5 separate regions of the Mus musculus genome follow, and regions 2, 3, 4 and 5 are each reported to be linked to region 1. Evidence: microRNA targets listed by miRTarBase, many of them from high-throughput screens and not tested one by one. Region 1 holds a microRNA gene; each other region holds the end of a gene's coding sequence. Distances are between the middles of the regions.
Evidence for each region. The annotated mature microRNA mmu-miR-27b-3p reads UUCACAGUGGCUAAGUUCUGC and lies in region 1 at 1,508-1,528, opposite strand. An mRNA with a match to its seed (bases 2 to 7 or 8) in the 3' UTR can be bound and repressed. Matches are read on the target gene's strand: a 7mer-m8 pairs with bases 2 to 8, a 7mer-A1 pairs with bases 2 to 7 and ends in A, and an 8mer does both.

Region 2: miRTarBase lists Smad5 as a target of mmu-miR-27b-3p. The part of its 3' UTR that is shown has no 7-base or 8-base seed match.
Region 3: miRTarBase lists Cxcl12 as a target of mmu-miR-27b-3p. Seed matches in the 3' UTR shown: 7mer-m8 at 2,147-2,153.
Region 4: miRTarBase lists Tmem179 as a target of mmu-miR-27b-3p. Seed matches in the 3' UTR shown: 7mer-m8 at 2,735-2,741.
Region 5: miRTarBase lists Arntl as a target of mmu-miR-27b-3p. Seed matches in the 3' UTR shown: 7mer-A1 at 3,616-3,622.

What each region holds. Positions count from the first base shown.
Region 1 is chr13:63,298,138-63,302,287 of GRCm38, reverse strand. It overlaps Mir27b (microRNA 27b), which reads right to left and starts at 1,576; the gene lies at 1,504-1,576. It overlaps Aopep (aminopeptidase O), which reads right to left. Exons shown (of 16, transcript NM_001289926.1): 16 at 1-3,576. The coding sequence ends at 3,436. It overlaps Mir23b (microRNA 23b), which reads right to left and starts at 1,804; the gene lies at 1,731-1,804. It overlaps Mir3074-1 (microRNA 3074-1), which reads left to right and starts at 1,005; the gene lies at 1,005-1,089. It also overlaps Mir24-1 and a transcript of Fancc not described here.
Region 2 is chr13:56,736,956-56,740,955 of GRCm38, forward strand. Smad5 (SMAD family member 5) reads left to right here. Exons shown (of 7, transcript NM_008541.3): 7 at 380-4,000. The coding sequence ends at 523. Among named protein-coding and RNA genes, the nearest start is that of Gm45623, 15 kb to the right of the region's middle.
Region 3 is chr6:117,172,817-117,176,816 of GRCm38, forward strand. It overlaps Cxcl12 (chemokine (C-X-C motif) ligand 12), which reads left to right. Exons shown (of 3, transcript NM_021704.3): 3 at 676-2,253. The coding sequence ends at 766. Among named protein-coding and RNA genes, the nearest start is that of Cxcl12, 6.3 kb to the left of the region's middle.
Region 4 is chr12:112,498,215-112,502,214 of GRCm38, forward strand. Tmem179 (transmembrane protein 179) reads right to left here. Exons shown (of 4, transcript NM_178915.3): 4 at 1,970-3,708. The coding sequence ends at 3,529. It overlaps A530016L24Rik (RIKEN cDNA A530016L24 gene), which reads left to right. Exons shown (of 5, transcript NM_177039.4): 5 at 1-1,713. Among named protein-coding and RNA genes, the nearest start is that of A530016L24Rik, 11 kb to the left of the region's middle.
Region 5 is chr7:113,313,305-113,317,304 of GRCm38, reverse strand. It overlaps Arntl (aryl hydrocarbon receptor nuclear translocator-like), which reads right to left. Exons shown (of 20, transcript NM_007489.4): 20 at 3,179-3,846. The coding sequence ends at 3,686. Btbd10 (BTB (POZ) domain containing 10) reads left to right here. Exons shown (of 11, transcript NM_133700.2): 11 at 566-1,661. The coding sequence ends at 876. Among named protein-coding and RNA genes, the nearest start is that of Gm33721, 54 kb to the right of the region's middle.

The sequences.
Region 1 (4,150 bases):
GAACACTAGCAAATCTGGTACTTTATTAAGACATTTTAGGCTTTCCTGCATTTTCAAAAACAGGAATGCTCTGTTGACTGAACACATCAAAAGGGCTTTGCAGAATCCTTGGGGACCAGCCACAGGAGGTGTCACATGATTCTGCAGTCTCAGAGCATGGCAGCTAGTTTTTGCAATCACAGGAAGCAGGCAACCGGCTCTCCATCTGCCTAGGGGAGGGTGTCCTTCATTGAATGACTGCCTTAAAGTCACAGCTCAATTCCAGTGTGTAGACTCAGTCTCTCTAGGACTGGGAACAAAGGCAGCTGCCAGGTGCAACAGTTTATGAGGCTCCGCCTTTTATATATGCCACGGGAGCCCAGTCTCTGGAAGCCCAAGATGGACCAACCACTGCTGTGGGCTGATGGCCTTAGCAGCCACATAATCCTCCCTTTGATGTCCAGGGTCAGTGCAGTCCTGGCCCCACCAGGGCTAGGAGAAGGTATATGAGAATCTCACTGTGATCTGTCCTGTGGAGGAAACAGCAATAAAATTTATTACCCAGTCACCACAGCCATTCCAACAGGAGTCCTCCCAGCCTCTGACCTCCACTTGAGAGGGAACTTTTCATGGGAGGACAGGGGCAACACTGAAGCCACACCTCACAATCCTGGGTCTGGGGTGCACAGTCACGGCACAGGCCATGCAGGGCTGTGAAGCCCAGAGAGGTTCAGAAAGGCTCTACAGACAAGGCCCTTCAGACAGGCATTCTCACTGCTCAAGGCAGCGGTGACATGGTGTGCTCTGCCCCAACACGTGGCAAATGCTCAGCGCCTGCCCTACCTGCTTCTAGGGAATGCAAACTTTCCAAGGTTAGCTCTGCACTCTACAAATCCCCACCTCGGGAGCACATACAGAGGGATACCACTGCTGTTGGGTCTGGTACCAGACACTCAGGCCCTTCATCTTCTTCTCCGTGGGAGGCCTGCCTCAGGCACTTACAGATGGGTAGGCTTTTTGCTCAAGGGCTCGACTCCTGTTCCTGCTGAACTGAGCCAGTGTGTGAAATGAGAACTGATATCAGCTCAGTAGGCACCGGAGGGCGGGTCCAATCACAGCTGGGCAGTGCCTCCTGGCGTGCCCTGGGCATCATCTTGCCAGCGACTGTGGAGACATGGAGACCTGGACTGCAAATACAAGAAAGAGTTCACCACGCCCAGCAGGGACAAAGAACCACACCCCCACCCATCACGTGTGGCATCAGCTGAGACAAGGTTGGCTCAGTTTCCTTGATGCACCTGGGTTTAGTTTTCTGTGACTCCCAATACACTTGACATTACAGTGAACTAATTAGCAGTAGAACTGTATTTTCTGTAGACACACTTAAGGGTGGTCAGCACGCTGTTTGCACTCTTGACAACACAGCCTTGAGGCAGGCTGGTCTCTCCTCCTCTGGAGTGACCACCAGGCAGTGGCCTCTGCCTGGCAGCTGCAAGTTAACTGTCCCCATCTCACCTTCTCTTCAGGTGCAGAACTTAGCCACTGTGAACAAAGCGGAAACCAATCACTGTTCACCAATCAGCTAAGCTCTGCACCTTGTTAGAGAGGTCATCGCCGGCCATAATTAAAGGGCTGGTGAGCATCTTCGAAGGCTGTTGGCTTCTTTTGTTTCCAAAGAGCCACAAGGCGCCTCTGTTCTCCAAACTGCAGAGAGAAAGTAGCCACGGTTCTGCAGGAGCAGCCAAGGTCATGGTTGCGTGGTAATCCCTGGCAATGTGATTTTAATCTCAAGTCACAAATCAGCATGCCAGGAACCCAAGCAGCCAGAGCAGGTGAGGGCAGCACCATGCCCAACCACTCCCATCCACATGTGCTGAGTGTCCTCCAAACCGCCTCTGAGCCCACCACGCTAGCAGTGCAGCCTGCTGTCCTTCAGCGCGCTGGCTGCACTGTATAGAGGAGCATAGGGGACTGGGAGACAAAGGACACACTTATCAGCTATGAGACCAATACCTTAGGGACCATCCTTGCTCTGAGTATGTGGCCTTTAACCCTGGGACACACCCTGTTCTCCAATTGCAGACTGAATGGGTTGGGATGTCTCTGGGCCCCTCAGACAGCAGGTGTGGTGTGTAGGGAGGGAGCATCTCTCTGGCTTGCCTGTGACCAAGCATTTGGTTGGATAAGCTGAGGCATAGCACAGAGCTCATAGGGGACCTAGCAAGTTGAGGATTTGCTCACTCAGGGGGCAAAAATACTCTTAGAAGAGTCACTAGGACCACTATGTGACTATGGCTTTCCTAAGTGAAGGCCTAGGGACCTAAAAAGGGAACAGTGGCTTTACTGTGTGACCTTCACACACCACATACCAACAATCCCTCAGCTTACAAGTTTCTAGAGAAATGTCTGCAGGAGGCAGTGAAGAGGCGCCCCGACCGACTCTGTCTATCCACACAGGCCACCGTCCTAGCTTGTAGTGTGCAGGCTTAGCAGGCTGTACCTGCTTACTCCAGCCCACTATCTCCCCTGCTTGACTGTGGCGGTCCCCAGCTCTTCTGCAACAACATGGTCATACATAGTAACATGTTTTCCCTTCATCAGTGTAGTTCTTCAGAAAAATAAACATTACACAGAAGTGGGTTTTATAAAAGTGAAATGTGAAAATGTAAATTTAATGTCTGACAATGGGTTAAGATTAGCAACACAATTCTAAATATTCATTAATTGGTAATCATAGAGAACAACAGAGTAACACAGTGATTGATGTAAAATTTCAAACATATACAAAAGTAAACATCATATGTACCACCATGGCAAGCGATAATGTCCTGGGATGATGTAGAGATGATGACTGGCGACTATGAAAGAGACGCACTAGCCCACACCTGTCTCAGAACTCCACGCCCTGTGGCTGAACTGCATTACTGGTCCACAAGCTGGCTACAGAGGAGGCAAGTTACACCACAGCCAAGGACTCTGGGAGCCAGCGTAAATCCTGTTCCAGCACGAGATGGAAACAGACTTGCCTTTAGGACGCAAGTGTCACTTGGATGGAGGGGCAGAGAAGACCTGCTGCCTACTCTACAGGTCAGAGAACCAGAGGCCAAGGAGTCTCAGGTTTACACAGCCTCTAGGAGAGATGCCTGCATGCTGAAGCCTGGAGCAATGAGGCCATGGACCGCTGTGTTGACCTTGACCCTGGAGCCTGTGGACCTGTGCAAAATCCAGGGTGGCTAAAGCAGTGCCAGATCTGTTGCTCCTTCAGCTGTACCTGCTTCACACCCATGCTTCCAGCAGGTGAGGTGCTCCAGAGATCCTGAGCCTTCTTCCTGTTCCTGAGGACCCACCTTGCTGCTTCCTCCCCAAGACCGTTTGGCAGCCCTCTGGTGCTGTGGCTCATCATGTGGCTTACCAATTGACATGGATGGTTAGAAGAAAGAAAAGAGAATTACCTCTTTAGAACAGCATTTCAGTCACCACCTGGGCCGATGCTCTGTCCATGTGTTCCTTCACCAGCTCAAAGCACCTGTGGGCTAGCTGCTGCAGCCTGGCGTCCTCACTCACCATCAGCTCCCCATACAGGTATATGCCCATGGCCTGCAGACCGTGAAGGCCAGAGAAGAATGGGAAAGGGGTAAGAGGCTGCACATGTTTATGGGGACTTGTTTGTATTGCTTTACACAAGCTGGTCTAAAAGCACAAAGGACAGAGAGAGAGCCTGCTGCCGTGCAGGTGACCAACTGAAGCTTGCACCTTCTACTCTGTCTCCATTGTCCTTATCAACACTCTATGGAAGCTGAACATGGTAGCACAGGCCTTTAATCTCAGCACTGGGAGGAAGAATAGGACGATCTTTGTGAATTCAAGGCCAGCCTGGTCTACATAGCAAGTTCTAAGCCACACAGAGTCACACAATGACACCTTGTCTCAAAAAACAACAGAAATACAGAATTCTATTGATTCTGTCAACCGACTCCGGTGCCCGAGTAGCAAGCTATCCCAAGATGGCTATTGTCAGGAATACACTGGGCAGAGGCAGAGAGCTCTCAAAATGGTCACCATGGAAAACCTTGTCTGTCAGGCCAGTGCATCCTAAAGGGTAGCTGGCATGAGCTTGCTTACAAAGTCCATCACCTAACAGGCCACAGAGACCACATGGCCAGCAGTGCAG
Region 2 (4,000 bases), 6.6 Mb from region 1:
TCCATACTCTCTCATCAGATACAAACACGCAGGGACAGGAGCCCCCCAAGTCTGCCCCATGAGGGCGTGGGCTTTATTTACTCAGTGAGAATATGTATCACAGCACGGCATGATTTAGCTGTGAAGGATCATAGTCTGGAGTTTTTGTAACAGTTAAACATGTTCTTAGTCCTATGGGTCTGTGTCTGAGAAATTCTGTTATTTGTTGAAGAGTTGAATACTGCAGATGTGTCTTTTAATACCATATGTGAGTGCTTACTGGTTTTCTGTAGTTTAAGTAAGTCTTATGTGTTTCTGCAGTTAAGCTTTTTATTGTTAAAGTTAGTGTGGACTGTTGACTGTTCAAGAGCGATTTGCTTTGCTGCCTGTTCATTTCCAGGGCTGGGGAGCAGAGTACCACCGACAGGACGTCACCAGTACTCCCTGCTGGATTGAGATTCACCTCCACGGGCCTCTGCAGTGGCTGGATAAAGTCCTTACTCAGATGGGCTCTCCGCTGAACCCCATTTCTTCTGTTTCATAGTGCAGAAGTATTCTTTCAACTATATTTTTAGTGGACTTGTTTTAATTTTAGAGGAATTTCCAGTACAGATGCTGTGAGCTGACATGGAAAACAGATATTATTTTTTCTACGTAATTGTGACCAACACATTTGTATTTTATGATGATATTACATTTGTTTGTATTCGTGTTCATTGTGATTAACTTTCAAAAGTATTGTAAACGATGTAGAGTATTTTGCCCCTGTTGAAATGTTTAGCATTGATCTTAAACTGGAACGTACTTTTTCTTATTGTCCCAACGTTTTTTAATTTGTTAAATTTTTTTTACAAAGTAGTTCATCACATAATGAAATTTTATCCTATAAGAGAACATATATTGTGGAAAGCAGTAGATGATATTTCTCTGGGAATTTCTTTGCCTTACCACCTTTGAAAAAGCATACATTGTTTGCAAAACCTCAAAGTAGGGCTTGCTTAAAGGAAACTGTTGAATCTTGTTTGAAGGACACTGCAGTCCTAACGTGTTCAGTGAAAGCAAGGTGGTAGATTTCTGGACGTCATACATTTACATTTAATATAGGTAATATTCATCAGTGTAATGTGACTTCATGCCATATATATTTTGTAAAACAATTCCTTTTTAAAAACTTCAAGTATTTCTCATTTACTCAAATTTGTTGTAAGTCCTACTTAACAGTTAGTTACTATGTGCTCTGTGGCCTTGTTCAGCATTGTTTGCTGCTTTGGGCCAACAATTCAAGAACTCTAATTTTCCTGTGCATTAATCTTTTCATTTTGCACTTTTATGGGTGACTGTCTTAGTGTAGCCTCTGGTAAAATACTATTAGGTGGCCTGGTTTTAGAGCTCCTCCTCGCTGCCTTGGCACTCCTTTGTGCAACACGACCACTTAGAGATGACAGCTGTGAGCTGTGCTGCTTTTTCTAGCCTTTAATTTCCAATGTAGTTTATAATGTTGTTCTTCTATAGCTCCAGCTAAGGTGCCTGTTAGTCCCCTACAATGTTATGAGCATTATTGACATTGAAAGGTTATGTATGTATGAATACCTTTGCTCCTTACCAGACTTGTCATACAAGGACTCGTGCAGTGTAGCCAGTAGAGGCTCTTTGGTTGGCCCAAGAATGAGGCTGTTGGTGTAAGTGAATCACAATAGGGATTGGGATAGTTCATGTCATATGTCATATAGCAAGACAATGTAGAGTGTAGGCTTGTCTCTCTGCATCAACGCTCTGCCTCTTTCTTTTTATCCTTTTAGAACCTACATGGACGCTAATCTCCACAACACTGTTGGATGTGAACACTCTTAAGACACTCATCTAGTTCACTGTGCCTTGTCCTTAGGACTCTTAACCACTTTCTAGGGAGCAGTTATGGCCTGAGATGGACAGTCATGGCCTGAGAATGAAGACACTACTTTGATAAAGAAAAAGGCCTCATTTGCCTATCAGAGTGAGAAAGGTTTTTTTCTGGTGCCTTTTGAAAATATACAGAGCCACTTGGTTCTTCTGCTGAAAATGTAATTTTGGTTTGACTTTTTAGAGTGCCCTTCCTGCCTTTATGAGGAAAACAGCTATTTTTTTTTTTGGGGGGGGGGATTCCTTTTGTTTTCTGTGCCATTATTTATTGCCTTTCAGAGTGCAACCATTGGGTGGCTTTGCTCCTTCAGAGAGGGCTCCTTGATAGCCTTCAGTAGCTTGAGCTGTAGACATAAGTATTCCATAGCAAGAGTGTGTCAGCTCCATGAGAGAGATGTCTGCTTTATAGCCGAGGCAGAAACCGTTCATGTTCCTTTACTTGGCAGCCTTCAGGAACAGGTTTGTAAGAACGTGTCTTGAGTTGAGTGAGTGTATGTCTGTGAGCTCTGCTGAAGTCTGGACACAAGGGCCTTGCCTGCTCCTTTTTTCAGCAGTGGGTTACATGTTGTCTCTCCACAGTCTTCATGTCATAGGTCTCGGACTTGCAGAGTCCTATGTGGCCTGCCATCTGTACAGTGGCAGGACTGAAGCTCTGAGCTGTTCTGAGGTTCATGGAGAAATCCCAACCTATTCTGTGGTCAGTAAATGGAGACTGTGTAGTCTACCTGCTCCTGTACTGTCCTTACTGTATGTAAGGATATACAGACGCCTGTGGGTAGGCAGTACTCACAGTGAGATGAAGACAGCAAGTGTGCACTGAACCACAGAGGGCAGGGAGTAGGGCCTCTGAAGAAGCCACCAGACCAGACCAGTGCCGGTACAGTCTTTGTCAGAGATGGCTCTGATGGGGCCCAGACTGACCCTGACCATGCTGAGTTGCTGAGGGTAGCCTTCAGTTCTCTACCCTCTGAAGTGCTAGGATGACAGACATCCGCCATCATACCCAGCTTCCGTGGTGCTAAGGATCAGCCTCAGTCTTCAGGCGTGCTAGGCATGTACTTTGCCAAGTATTTAGTATACAAAATACATTAGTATCTGCCAGGGAAAAAAGATTTGCAAATAATAAAGATTGCCATCAGTTTGATAAATGTTGTAAATGGAAGAATCAAAATCTCAGCGATGGATTACAGCAACAAGATGCTGCCTAGGAAAAGCAGGACCAAGAGGTACATTTGACTAGTATACCTTCAGCGTAGCGTGATGACCTCACTGATGTCACCCAACTGAACTTAAGGGCTGTAAGTAGGCGTGCTGTGGGCCTTCCAGAACTAGAGAAAATTATAGGAGGAAGTCAGTTCTAAAGTATCAAAAGCTGGGTAATGGTGGCACATGCCTTTGATTCTAGCACTCGGGAAGCAGGGGCTAGCCTAGTCTACAGAGCAACTTCTACACAGAGAAACTGTCTTGGAGGAAAATAAAAAAAGAAAAGTCAAAGAGCAAACAAATAGAACAGAGTAGGAATCCGTGTCCCCTTTTTTCTATGTTTCACGGTTGCAGGTGTAAGAAAAGTAGTCATAGATGTGGCTGAGTTTCTAAGATGAAACCAGTAGTAAGATTGCTAAATATAACACTTCAACCAAGTTAAACACCCTTTGGGGGTATGAATGAAAGTAACACTGCAATATGAAATGAACCGTGCAAGTAACACTTGGGGTTACCTCACAGTCTCCCTATGCCTGAGAGGACTGTGGGAAACATTTCCATCCCCTGCCAGTATCGCCATTGGGAGGACAGAGTAGATGAAGAAGTGAAGTCTTACTGGTCCAGGGCACGCCTGTCAGCAATGCCATTTGTGCTTCTGCCACAGAGAGCACCGAGAGGCTTGGCTCAGTATCCTCGAACCTTCTCTGGTCACTTCCCTGGCAGCACTTGGGTCCCTGTCACTCACTGGTCTCTTAAAAGTCCCGTCTCTTTGCTTCCTAAAGATTCTCTAAAAAAATTACTATTTTTTATTTCTTTTTTAAAAGTCTTTGTTATTTTGTTTTGGGATACAGTCTCTTTGTACAGTCCTGGCTGGCCTGGAAATTACTATGTAGGCCAGCCTCAAACTTGAAGTAATTCT
Region 3 (4,000 bases), not on the chromosome of region 1:
GGTTCATCTGCCCATTAGGAAGTTCTAGGGATGGGAGAAAGAACACGGCGTCAATTAACAAATCCACAAAGCTAAGACCTTGAAGCATTCTGTGAACTTGTAAACGCGCTCAGGCAACCATTGGACAATTTGTCTAGACTGCTCCTTGCCCACCTGAACTGCCCTGTTCCTCCCCTTCTGGACTCCTGCCGTCTTCCTCCAGAGCTACCTTTAAGGTTGTCCCATGTACTATCAAGGTGCTCTGTCAAAAGTTCTTAGGCTGCTTCTGGCACTCTCCAGAATTTTCCAAGACCTCCCCCCCACCATGATATCAGTCATCCGCGCCTTCTGGGTGGTTCTTCCTCCACACCCTTTGGGCACTTTGACTCCTGTGGGATATTCGTCCTTCCTTTTCCTTTAGCTTTCCTCACTTGCCAAGCTCCAACTTGGCCAGAAGCTCAAATGCCTCCACTGTGGTCTCTTCTCTGTGTCCCCTGGGAGACATCCTTAGCACGTCCCTAACTCTGCGGTGGTGGTCCCAACACGATTCAAGTGCTATGTCTTCCAAAACTGAAGCTTCCGGGAGCAGCAGCTGGGCCCTGCAGTGAGGACCTTTAGCTGGGTGTGTTGGGTGAGCCCACAGGATCGCTTTCTCCCGCTTGGCTGTACAGCGTCTCTCCCCTTGTGTTTTGGCAGTGCACGGCTGAAGAACAACAACAGACAAGTGTGCATTGACCCGAAATTAAAGTGGATCCAAGAGTACCTGGAGAAAGCTTTAAACAAGTAAGCACAACAGCCCAAAGGACTTTCCAGTAGACCCCCGAGGAAGGCTGACATCCGTGGGAGATGCAAGGGCAGTGGTGGGGAGGAGGGCCTGAACCCTGGCCAGGATGGCCGGCGGGACAGCACTGACTGGGGTCATGCTAAGGTTTGCCAGCATAAAGACACTCCGCCATAGCATATGGTACGATATTGCAGCTTATATTCATCCCTGCCCTCGCCCGTGCACAATGGAGCTTTTATAACTGGGGTTTTTCTAAGGAATTGTATTACCCTAACCAGTTAGCTTCATCCCCATTCTCCTCATCCTCATCTTCATTTTAAAAAGCAGTGATTACTTCAAGGGCTGTATTCAGTTTGCTTTGGAGCTTCTCTTTGCCCTGGGGCCTCTGGGCACAGTTATAGACGGTGGCTTTGCAGGGAGCCCTAGAGAGAAACCTTCCACCAGAGCAGAGTCCGAGGAACGCTGCAGGGCTTGTCCTGCAGGGGGCGCTCCTCGACAGATGCCTTGTCCTGAGTCAACACAAGATCCGGCAGAGGGAGGCTCCTTTATCCAGTTCAGTGCCAGGGTCGGGAAGCTTCCTTTAGAAGTGATCCCTGAAGCTGTGCTCAGAGACCCTTTCCTAGCCGTTCCTGCTCTCTGCTTGCCTCCAAACGCATGCTTCATCTGACTTCCGCTTCTCACCTCTGTAGCCTGACGGACCAATGCTGCAATGGAAGGGAGGAGAGTGATGTGGGGTGCCCCCTCCCTCTCTTCCCTTTGCTTTCCTCTCACTTGGGCCCTTTGTGAGATTTTTCTTTGGCCTCCTGTAGAATGGAGCCAGACCATCCTGGATAATGTGAGAACATGCCTAGATTTACCCACAAAACACAAGTCTGAGAATTAATCATAAACGGAAGTTTAAATGAGGATTTGGACTTTGGTAATTGTCCCTGAGTCCTATATATTTCAACAGTGGCTCTATGGGCTCTGATCGAATATCAGTGATGAAAATAATAATAATAATAATAATAACGAATAAGCCAGAATCTTGCCATGAAGCCACAGTGGGGATTCTGGGTTCCAATCAGAAATGGAGACAAGATAAAACTTGCATACATTCTTATGATCACAGACGGCCCTGGTGGTTTTTGGTAACTATTTACAAGGCATTTTTTTACATATATTTTTGTGCACTTTTTATGTTTCTTTGGAAGACAAATGTATTTCAGAATATATTTGTAGTCAATTCATATATTTGAAGTGGAGCCATAGTAATGCCAGTAGATATCTCTATGATCTTGAGCTACTGGCAACTTGTAAAGAAATATATATGACATATAAATGTATTGTAGCTTTCCGGTGTCAGCCACGGTGTATTTTTCCACTTGGAATGAAATTGTATCAACTGTGACATTATATGCACTAGCAATAAAATGCTAATTGTTTCATGCTGTAAACCTCCTACCGTATGTGGGAATTTATTTACCTGAAATAAAATCTACTAGTTGTTAGATGGAGTGCACATACATTTCTGAAGATGGAGAAAAACAGGTGTGCCTGCTGATCAGGTGCTGTGGGCTGCCCTGCAGTCCTGGTGAGCGACAGACACTGAGGCAGGCTTGTCTCATGAACAGGCTGCCTCTGCAGTGAAAGTTTTTGTGTATTTTTTTTAACCCAAGCTAGTTTTCTAATGAATAATACTTGACTCACTAATTTCCCCTCCTCCTCCTTCTCCTCAGTTCTCCTAACATCCTCATGTGATCCCCAGACTCAACTCCAGTAATATCAAGCTTTCCTATTTTCCCATGTAAAAAAATCCCATGACTCTGGGCCATGTTAATATCAGGCTTTTGTGGGAACAGGTGGCCTCACCCCATAAATCATTAAATACCATTCAGCTTGAATCATTTTAATGTGACAGTCACAAACCAGTTGCTCTAATAAAAACTCTGCTAACCATCCTTCTCCTTAGCTCTCTAGAACAATCTCAGTTATCCCTAGGGATGCTCCCCAGCATCCAGAAAAGAGAAGTGGGATCAATCATCCTGCCTTTCTCCCCCTCCTCTCTTGGAGGGCTGCCTGAGCCCGTGGCCTCCACCTCCCCTGCTTTGTATAATTTGAAATGCAGATTTGTAGTGAAGGCAGAGTTCACCTCTGCATTGAAAGGGAAGGCAGGCCCAGAGCTTCCTTCCCTGCCCTCTGAGATGTGCATTTATGTCTCAGGATGGATGAGCTTTGGTAGGAATGCTCAAAACCAGGACCAGCCAGACAAACTGGCAGTCCCTGTAAGCGGTTCCCGGGTCATAGGGTTAGGGCACCCCTGTTTAACTTTGGGGTGGGGAAAGTATCTGGTTTTCTTTGATAAATTGCTTGTGAACCACATTTGCCAAGTGGCCTCCAGGCCTCAAACTCAAAGACCGAGCTAAATCGACTCGGAAGGCAATGCTGAATGAAGATTGTGGGAACTGAGATAGATACACTCCTCTATGTTGCAATGTGATTAATGGTTCTACTAATTTTATCTAAGGGGGCGCAGAGAAGAAAAAGTGGGGAAAAAAGAAAAGATAGGAAAAAAGAAGCGACAGAAGAAGAGAAAGGCTGCCCAGAAAAGGAAAAACTAGTTCCCCGCTTCCTGCCGATGGACCGCAGTGCGCTCTGCTCTGGCGCTTTGTAACTCGCTCCTCCCTCTTCGGGGGCAGACCCCACACTCCGGGCAGGTGCTCAAACCTGACGGTAAACTCTTCCCTCTTCGGGGGCAGACCCCATACCCCGGGGCGGGTGCTTAGGCTTTCCTGCCCTGGTGGCCACACCAGCTGCTGTATTTATGTGCTTCATAAGGCCCTGCTCTGTCTGCTAAAGCTATGAAGAAAGATGTGCAGAGACTGGGGTGGAGACTAAGCCAAAGAGGAGCTGCCTAGCCTGGCAGCATTGCCCCGAGCTGAGCCCCCTTGGCCAGGACTTCACAAGGCTCACACCTACAATCCCATGAAGGCCAGGGTGGTCTGCTTAGCCAGGAAAGGGCAAGTGCCTTCCCCTCGGCCACACTGCCCCTTGTGGCCTTCTCGGGACATGTGGTAACTGACTTGCTCTCAGGCCCACCCGCAGCTTTTCCAAATACCTGCAGCCTTCAGCCCTGCTGCCCTGCCTGTGGGAGCAGCTTTGACTCCAGTCCAGAAGGGTTTCTGCAGACTGTGTTGGGTGAGACGCAGAAAGGATGAAATCTCAGAACACATGTCAGCTGCTTCTCAGGAAATCTTT
Region 4 (4,000 bases), not on the chromosome of region 1:
CCAATGCTTGACAAACCCAGGAACTCTAAGAGGTTGCTATCAACCTTTAAATGGGAAAGGAGGGAGGTTCTGGCTCGATGCTACAGGCACCTCCTACTCCAGTCAGCACGGGCTGGGATCTTGGGATTTTAAGACTGAATCAGAGAAAGAACTCGACCATTATAGCCGGGAATTCCTATGTTCCTGCCCAGTCCTCTGTCTTGGGAGCCATAGCCTGGATGTTACCGTACATAGCTCTTTGAGGGTGCGTTTGGGAAGGCGAGCCCCAATCTCCTGCTGCTTTGAGGGCTGGGCCCAGCTTTTGCCACACCATCACGAGACAGGGTGCCTCTCTCGCTCCAGTTCATGGAGCCCATGAGAATTGTCCTTTTCTCTGAGCCCAGGTCTGAATTCCTCCACTTCATGCGCAGTGATCCGTCAGGGGTCACTGTGGTGTGGGAACAGAGTCCAGCTCTGAACACAGTTGCTCTCAGAACAGGAGTGTGGCACCGAGGGTCTTCTTCCGGGGCCACACACAGGCCCAAAGCCATCGGGCCTGCCCACCAGCTGCAGGCCCTGTGAGTGTCCTGAACATCTGTGTACACTGTTCTGTCACTCATGTTGAAAGGCAAGGGGAAGCGAGCACCAGCGTGTAGCAACCGCTTCAGAGCATCCCAGACCCGCCTGGAGGGGGAGCCCTGAGCTCAGCGGGGAGGCCCAGTCGGACACCAGGAGGATCCGCAAGGGGGACCCTGTACCACCCTGGAACAAACAAATGAGCAGGGTTTGGGAGCCAGGATAAGACTGGGGGTAGTCCTAAGGTACCCCTCTACTTAGGTGGGCAGACAGGGACCCCATATTAAAATACCTGCAGCCTCTTCAACCTCGGGATGATTGCAAAATAAACAGAGGGAGACACTGTGGAAGAATCCCTCCGGGTCCAAGCATGTTCATCTAGGTGCCAGAGCACACTCCCACCCCTCCACTCACTCGCCCCCACAGCCTACAGGTGCCTTGCAGCTGTCATCCACAAGAAGTCAGGGGACCCACCATGCACCCAGGACCACATCCTCCCCAGCAAGACATGCCAAGCTTCTCAGATCACTGAGGTGCAATCTGCCCCTCTCTGGCCTTCCGGTGCCCTGCACAGTGGTCTCCAGATGCAGAATTTGAGAGCACAGTAGGTGTGAGCCCAGTGGAGCAAAACCCTTCTCTAGAAGGCGTCTAGAAGTGGTCTAAAAAGGACCAGTCTGGAAAGCAACTCACCAGGACTGGCTATCACCATGGTTACTGTTGCCTGCACCAGTCCAGCTCCATCTCATCCTGCCCTGGTCAAAGACAGGCTCATTATTGACTGGCTTGTATTCCAGATATGGAAACAGACACTTAGAGGCGAGATGACAGACCTCCAGACCACTCTTCCATCCCTGCTTCTGAGGGTGGATGCCCTTCAGGAGGGGGAGTGTTCACCCCATGTTTTACAATGGAGAGCCAGGGCTTCCCACCTTATAGCCAGCATTTGCTGCAAAGGTCACAGAAAAAGTGTGCCTCGCCCACTCACTCTGTAAGGGCCACAAAACAGCCCCAGCTCGGGTTTTTTTTTTTTTTTTGGGTTTCGCTTTGCTTTGTTTCATTTTTTTATGGTGCAAACCCAACATAGCAAGGCCAAGAGTCTGCCACTGCTACATTCCCCAGCCTTATTTTGTCTTAGAATAAATGTTCAAGGACATACACAGAGATGCATGTGCCCCAGAGCTGTCACCAAAACCCATCCTCATGCCCAGGGTGGGGGTGGGGTGGGGCGTAGGAATGGTGGGGGGAGCTGCAAGAGTCAAACTCCTTACAATGCACAGACATGAAGGTCCACCCCATGAGCCCTGGAGTCAGACTGGTTAAGCCTGAGAGCAAGTGGGGAGGGGTGGAGACTGGAGGTGGGGGGGCCTGGAGTGGACTGGCTGGCTAGCAAAGACACAGACTCCTCATCCACACAGCATCTCAGATGTTTCGTCTTTATTTTATTTTGACTTGAGGATCAGACACACGGAGGCATCACTACCATCACTACCAGCTTCTCCAGGAAGACTGAAACCAGGGCTTCCCTGTAGCAAGCTGGAAAGGAGCAGAGATGTCTGGCAGGCAACCTGGGGACCTCTCTGCAGCCTCTGCCTGTCTCTTGCCATCCATTCCATAAGACCTCTCTTGGACAGACACCCCTGCCCATGGCTTCAGCCAACAGGTCCTGCCAACACTCCTAGGCCCAGAGGCCCTTCCCCAGGAGTCCCTGGAACACCAACATCTGGGGGACAAGTCTAGGCATCCCAGACTAACTCTCCAGAATCCAAAAGAGGCAGCTGCCAAGGTAGACCCACACCTGAGGCAGATCCTAGGTCCCAGAGGCCCCATCCAGCCTCCTGTTCCTTCAGGTCCTAGAGGGCTACAGCCTTAGTAAGGATATGAGGCAGATGAGGAAGGAGCCAATCCTGGGAAAACAGAGGATTCTCAAGGCTAGGCAGTGTCGCCATGTCCCATAGATTAGGGCTTGTGTGAGGGTGTGGAGAAGAGACCAGGTCAGTTTGGAGACCAGATCCTCTTCTGGGAGCTCATCAAGGCCAAAGCCCTCAGAGAAGACTGGAGTGTCGGTCGGCCCAACCCTGACCTCCTCAGACAGGCACCCCCTTGCACAGCACCCTGACCATCCTTGCTGGCTTCAATTTTTAGGGCCCAACTGACACACACACACACACACAAAGGCTCCTCACAGTGAGCCTGGAAGCTTGTGCCTTCCACCTGGAAACACACCAGCCACAGATGGACACTGGCCTCAGACACAGGTCAGGATCACCTTGCTTGAAAATTGGGGACAGCGTTGCAGCACAACTGCAGACTAGGGCCAGCAACATTGAACGCACTCACTGAGATCCAGATGGGCGGGGCCTCTTCGGCCATGGGGGCCTCACCCTTGCAACACAGAGAACCATGCCACCTAGAAAGCCTCAAAGGGAGGAGAGTGGAACTCTCCCATGACAGCCAAGCAGCCCAGGATGGCCTCTCAGAGCAGGGGATGGAGCCCAGCCCAGGGTCCCACATTCCTACCAGGATCCTCTGCCCGCTGCCTTCTCCAGTGCCTTCTGAGAACCTTGGCTGAGTGCTATAGGATGGGAAGTCAGCCCCTTATGGAAGGGGCAGGGACCACGTGCGCTGGAGCCTGTGGTGGTGCAAAGGCTGCTAACCTGGCGGCGACGGCACCTCGGTTCTGCACTCACACCCCCATCCACACACATGCTCACATGCATGCACATATATAGACAAAGGGTCACACGGGTGAAGGAGTATGCGTCAAAGGCCAGGACTGGAAGCTGGAAGTCACCCCCTCCCCAAGTCTCTGGATCTCTGCCCCATCACTGTCAGGCTCTCCATGGGAACTCAGGTGCCCTGCTCACGGTGGGCGGGGCCAAGAGACACATGCAGAGCTGTGTTGGCCAGCCTGGATGGGTCCCCAGCGCCCCCTCCCCATGCAGGCCTCAGGAAAGGGGGCCACCCTTGCACAGCCTAGATGACAGCACTCTTCTCCCCCTGGAAGGAGGTGCGGGAGGTAGGCCTGGCTAGCAGAAGCTCCTTCTCGTGAACCAGGCTGTCCAACAGGTCCTCCTGGCGGTAGTTGTGATAAACCTTCAGGAAAGCCAGAGTGGTGATCGCCAGCCAGGCCAGCCAGGAGGCCCACAGTCCAAACTGCATGGAAGGCAGAGAAGTGTCAGGGGGAGTGTGGCTCATTGCCCAGTGTGCTCAGTACCCACCTCCTCGCTCTAGCTCTGTGGGAAAGGGAAGGGAACATTAAGGCAAGAGCAGGCAGGCGGGCAGCAGGGACCTGAGAGCCCATGCACACCCACATTTGGCTTATTCTCTGCAGTGATCATTATGTCCTATAGTCACAAGAACCCAGCTTTGTGCAGAGCCTTGGGGGCTTGGCCATTATGGAGGAGCAGGCCCTGGGCGGAGCTCTCCCCTCCCCCACTACTCTGGG
Region 5 (4,000 bases), not on the chromosome of region 1:
TCCTAGGACTCTATGTGTTTGGAGAAGTCTCTTTACTAATAAATAATTGAAAGCTTTCTGAAACTTTGGGTTGTTTTTACTAGTTGTTACTTTTAGTGACTATGATTCAAAAAAATTATAATTAAGTAAAGCTCTTTGTAGATAGAAATTTAATTCACTGTCGAAAGTCATAATAAAATGGTGTAATATTAAAATATTGCCCTTGCTAAGCTAGCTGCAGAATTTAAGAACCTGTTAGAGAGCTGATTATTCTTTATTATTTAACAAAAATTCTAAAGCAATATAAAGATAAGGCTGGAGCTTAAGGAAGCTAGAAGACTAATGGAGCCAGAAATTTCGGGCCTTTCTGCTCAGTCATCCCGTGAGGAGAATGAGTGCTGCTGGTACTCGGATAAAGCCTAGACCCACTGCAGATTACACACCACTGAATGGAGAGCCACCCTCCATGGTCCCACTTAAAAGTGTTTTGTGGGGGTTGAGTACTAAGTAACTTAAAAGCTCTCAACAGCTAACTTGAATGAGAAGTTGTAAGTGTCCCCTTTTAAAATTCCTTTCTTTCCTCCAGGCTATCCTACCTACAAAGAAAAAGTAAAGAAAAGGCCAGGGGGCCGTCCAGAAGTCATTTACAATTATGTCCAAAGACCCTTCATTCGAATGTCCTGGGAGAAGGAGGAAGGAAAGAGTCGGCATGTAGACTTTCAGTGTGTAAAGAGTAAATCCATTACCAATCTGGCAGCAGCTGCTGCAGACATTCCCCAGGACCAGCTAGTAGTCATGCACCCTACTCCACAGGTGGACGAGCTGGATATCCTTCCCAGCCACCCTGCCTCGGGCAACAATGACCTCGATCCTGATGCACAGAATCCAATGCTGTGATGCTGATGTTCCTGAAACCATAGCATGCTACTCTTCACAGTGACGTCGTACTCCTCCTTCTGCACTGCGAGGCCACTTTTCTTCATTGTGAGATGCACATGTTTAGGATACTGCAGTGTAGGCTTTTTTAAAGACCAAAGGTAGCTGAATGGTTTTTTAATGAGTACAACTTTAGCATCCTCGTTCGAGTTCTATAAATGTATTTGTTTACCAGTAGGTTTGTGAAATTGGTTCTTTGTATGGGGACAGTCCTTTTTCACATATCTAGGTTTTCTCAGAAGTGGTGGGAATTTGGCAGCTGGGGTACTTTAAGTGTAGATTGATATTTATCTTGCCTCAGGTAAGATGAATATTACAAAGTTGCACTTTATAGATGGTGGTTAAATGGAGCTGTTGAAGCCATTTTAGAGCTGTGATGCACAGTATAACATAAGTGCTTCTATCAGAGTATTCCTCAGTACAGTATGTATAGTTGGCCCACATCAAGCAAAAACATATTTATCTTGGGTTTATTTAAACAATTAGGATAAAATTTGATGCTTATAGTGTTGGTTCACTCATCTCCAGAGCCCTGCAGCCCTATTAGAGTGAGTCACATGCAGGGAGGGTGAACGTCAAGAGGTGGTTTACTGTCCAGTCTGCCTTATCCTTAATCTGTTCATATATTTATTTACTAATGCTTTTTTCTTAAGAGTTATGGGATAGAAAAACAAACTGTTTGCTCTTCATTTACTAAATGATTGTAAACTCGAGTTTTTCATCAAAATAAAATTTCATTGTTTTAATGTTTCTGACCAACTTTATGAACACCTTGGCTAGATTCTGTGTCATATATGTTATGTATAACTAGAAATCAAATGACAGTTTTTTTTTTTTTTTTTTTTTTTTTTTTTGGTTTTTCGAGACAGGGTTTCTCTGTATAGCCCTGGCTGTCCTGGAGCTCACTTTGTAGACCAGGCTGGCCTCGAACTCAGAAATACGCCTGCCTCTGCCTCCCGAGTGCTGGGATTAAAGGCGTGCGCCACCACGCCCGGCTCAAATGACAGTTTTAAAAGCGCTTTGGTATATTTGCAAGAGGCACTTAGATTTCCTATAAGTTCAGGAAAAATGCTATAAATCCAAAGCAGTTGATCAAGATTTTCAGGATATGAAAATGGAATGACGCCTGTATTAGGAACCCTAACTTTCAGAACTAGTTTCTAATTAATTCAATATTCTTTCCATCAAATACTCTAAATATTTCATGGTTTACAACAAAGATTCATATTTTAAGTGCTTTGGGTCTTAGATCACTTAACTCTTTGTAGCCATACAAATAGTCCAGGACTGCCCTCTGAGCCACAGAATTGCCATCTTGGAGTGCTCAGCTGTGCCTGTTTGCAAAAGAACACTCGATAGGCTTTTTGACTGTTTATATCCCCCCAAGGAGATGTGGAGACAATCACAAGACCTTCCTCACCTGCGTGTCCAGCTGTTCCGCCTCCAGTTCTATACAACTCTGCCTTTAACTGGGCATGGCCTTGGAGGGAATAAGAATATATAAGGCTGGGGAAGATGAGGAAAAGGTTAAGGCTCCATCTGGATGCCTATGGGAAACCTGTTTTCTCAGCTGGGTAAAGGCTTTCTTTTTTTTTTTTTTTTTTAATTTATTATTAAATGTAAGTACACTGTAGCTGTCTTCAGACACACCAGAAGAGGGCACCAGATCTCATTACGGATGGTTGTGAGCCTCCATGTGGTTGCTGGGATTTGAATTCAGGACCTTCAGAAGAGCAGTCAGTGCTCTTAACTGCTGAGCCATCTCTCCAGCCCCAGTAAAGGCTTTCTAGTGTGGCCTTTGAGTAGGAGCATACCTGTAGGGAACCTCTCGCCTGTGTCTGTATGGAAGCCCAGTAAACCAACCCATTGGTTTCCAGAGTGAACTTTAGTTTGGTGGGATCACATCTCAGTTTGTCGATGGGACCATAGAAAGAGAGCAGATGCCGTCGCTTACATCTACCCCTGGTAGACTTGAGCACACCATGTAACTGCAGGTCTAGAGAAGCCAGCTTGTAATCTTGAAATCTAAGCACTGGAAATTGGAGTTGATATCTTTGTTTTCATATAAGTTGAGGTGGCTACAGTTTGGAAGTGAGCTATTTTTATAATATGTCTAAGCTGGTAGCATGGAAGAAGTCATTATAAGAGCAAAAGGACATTGTAAACATAACAGCAGGAATGTGTTTAGACCGCTGGTGAAGTGGATGAACCAGCCCTGTAGCATATGAAGATTTTCTTCCTAATTATCAATTGGGAACAGTACTTATAGAACAAGGGAAACATTTATTAAAAATATTTAACTGTCTAATACATTATACTTTAACCCATATTTATAGTAAAGGATTCTTACAAGGAAGAATAAACAGCTTTATGATACAATTAGTATAAGAAATATCCACATGGGGGACTTCTTTGTAGTGTAAAAACACCATACATCTGAAATGACCATTTTGCATATAAAAGCTACCAATGATGCTTCTGTGCACAATGATTAAAAAATTCAACACAAACAAAATCCAAAATATACAATTAATGCAAGCTATCCACAGCTAGCCCAAACTCAATGATGAGGAAACACTGGAGCAGGTTTAGTTCCACTTTGTCTGAAGTTACACATGGTAGATTGACTTGTATCAATGGCTCTGAGGTGGCTTTTATGGAGTCAGTACATAAAAGCTGTTCTCTCTCTATCCAGTAAGCTTCACAGACTGTAAAACTTCACCATTAATGCACTTTGATACTGCAGCTGTTGCCAAAGCAAATGTAGTGTCTACAGCGGCCATGGCAAGTCACTAAAGTCAACGGGGCCACCCAGCCCCGCATCTGCTTCCAAGAGGCTCATGATGACAGCCATTGCTGCCTCATCGTTACTGGGACTACTTGATCCTTGGTCGTTATCTATCATATCGATGCCTATGTGGGGGTTCTCACCTGTGGAAGGAAGAAAGGACTGTCAGTAAGGAATAACAAAGCATACTTATATTTGGAAAGCAACTTCTCAACACACCAATAAGGACGTTTATTTAACAAGAGCAAGGGGTTATTTGGGGGATTCCATTGCCATAACTTTTCATTGTTACTACCC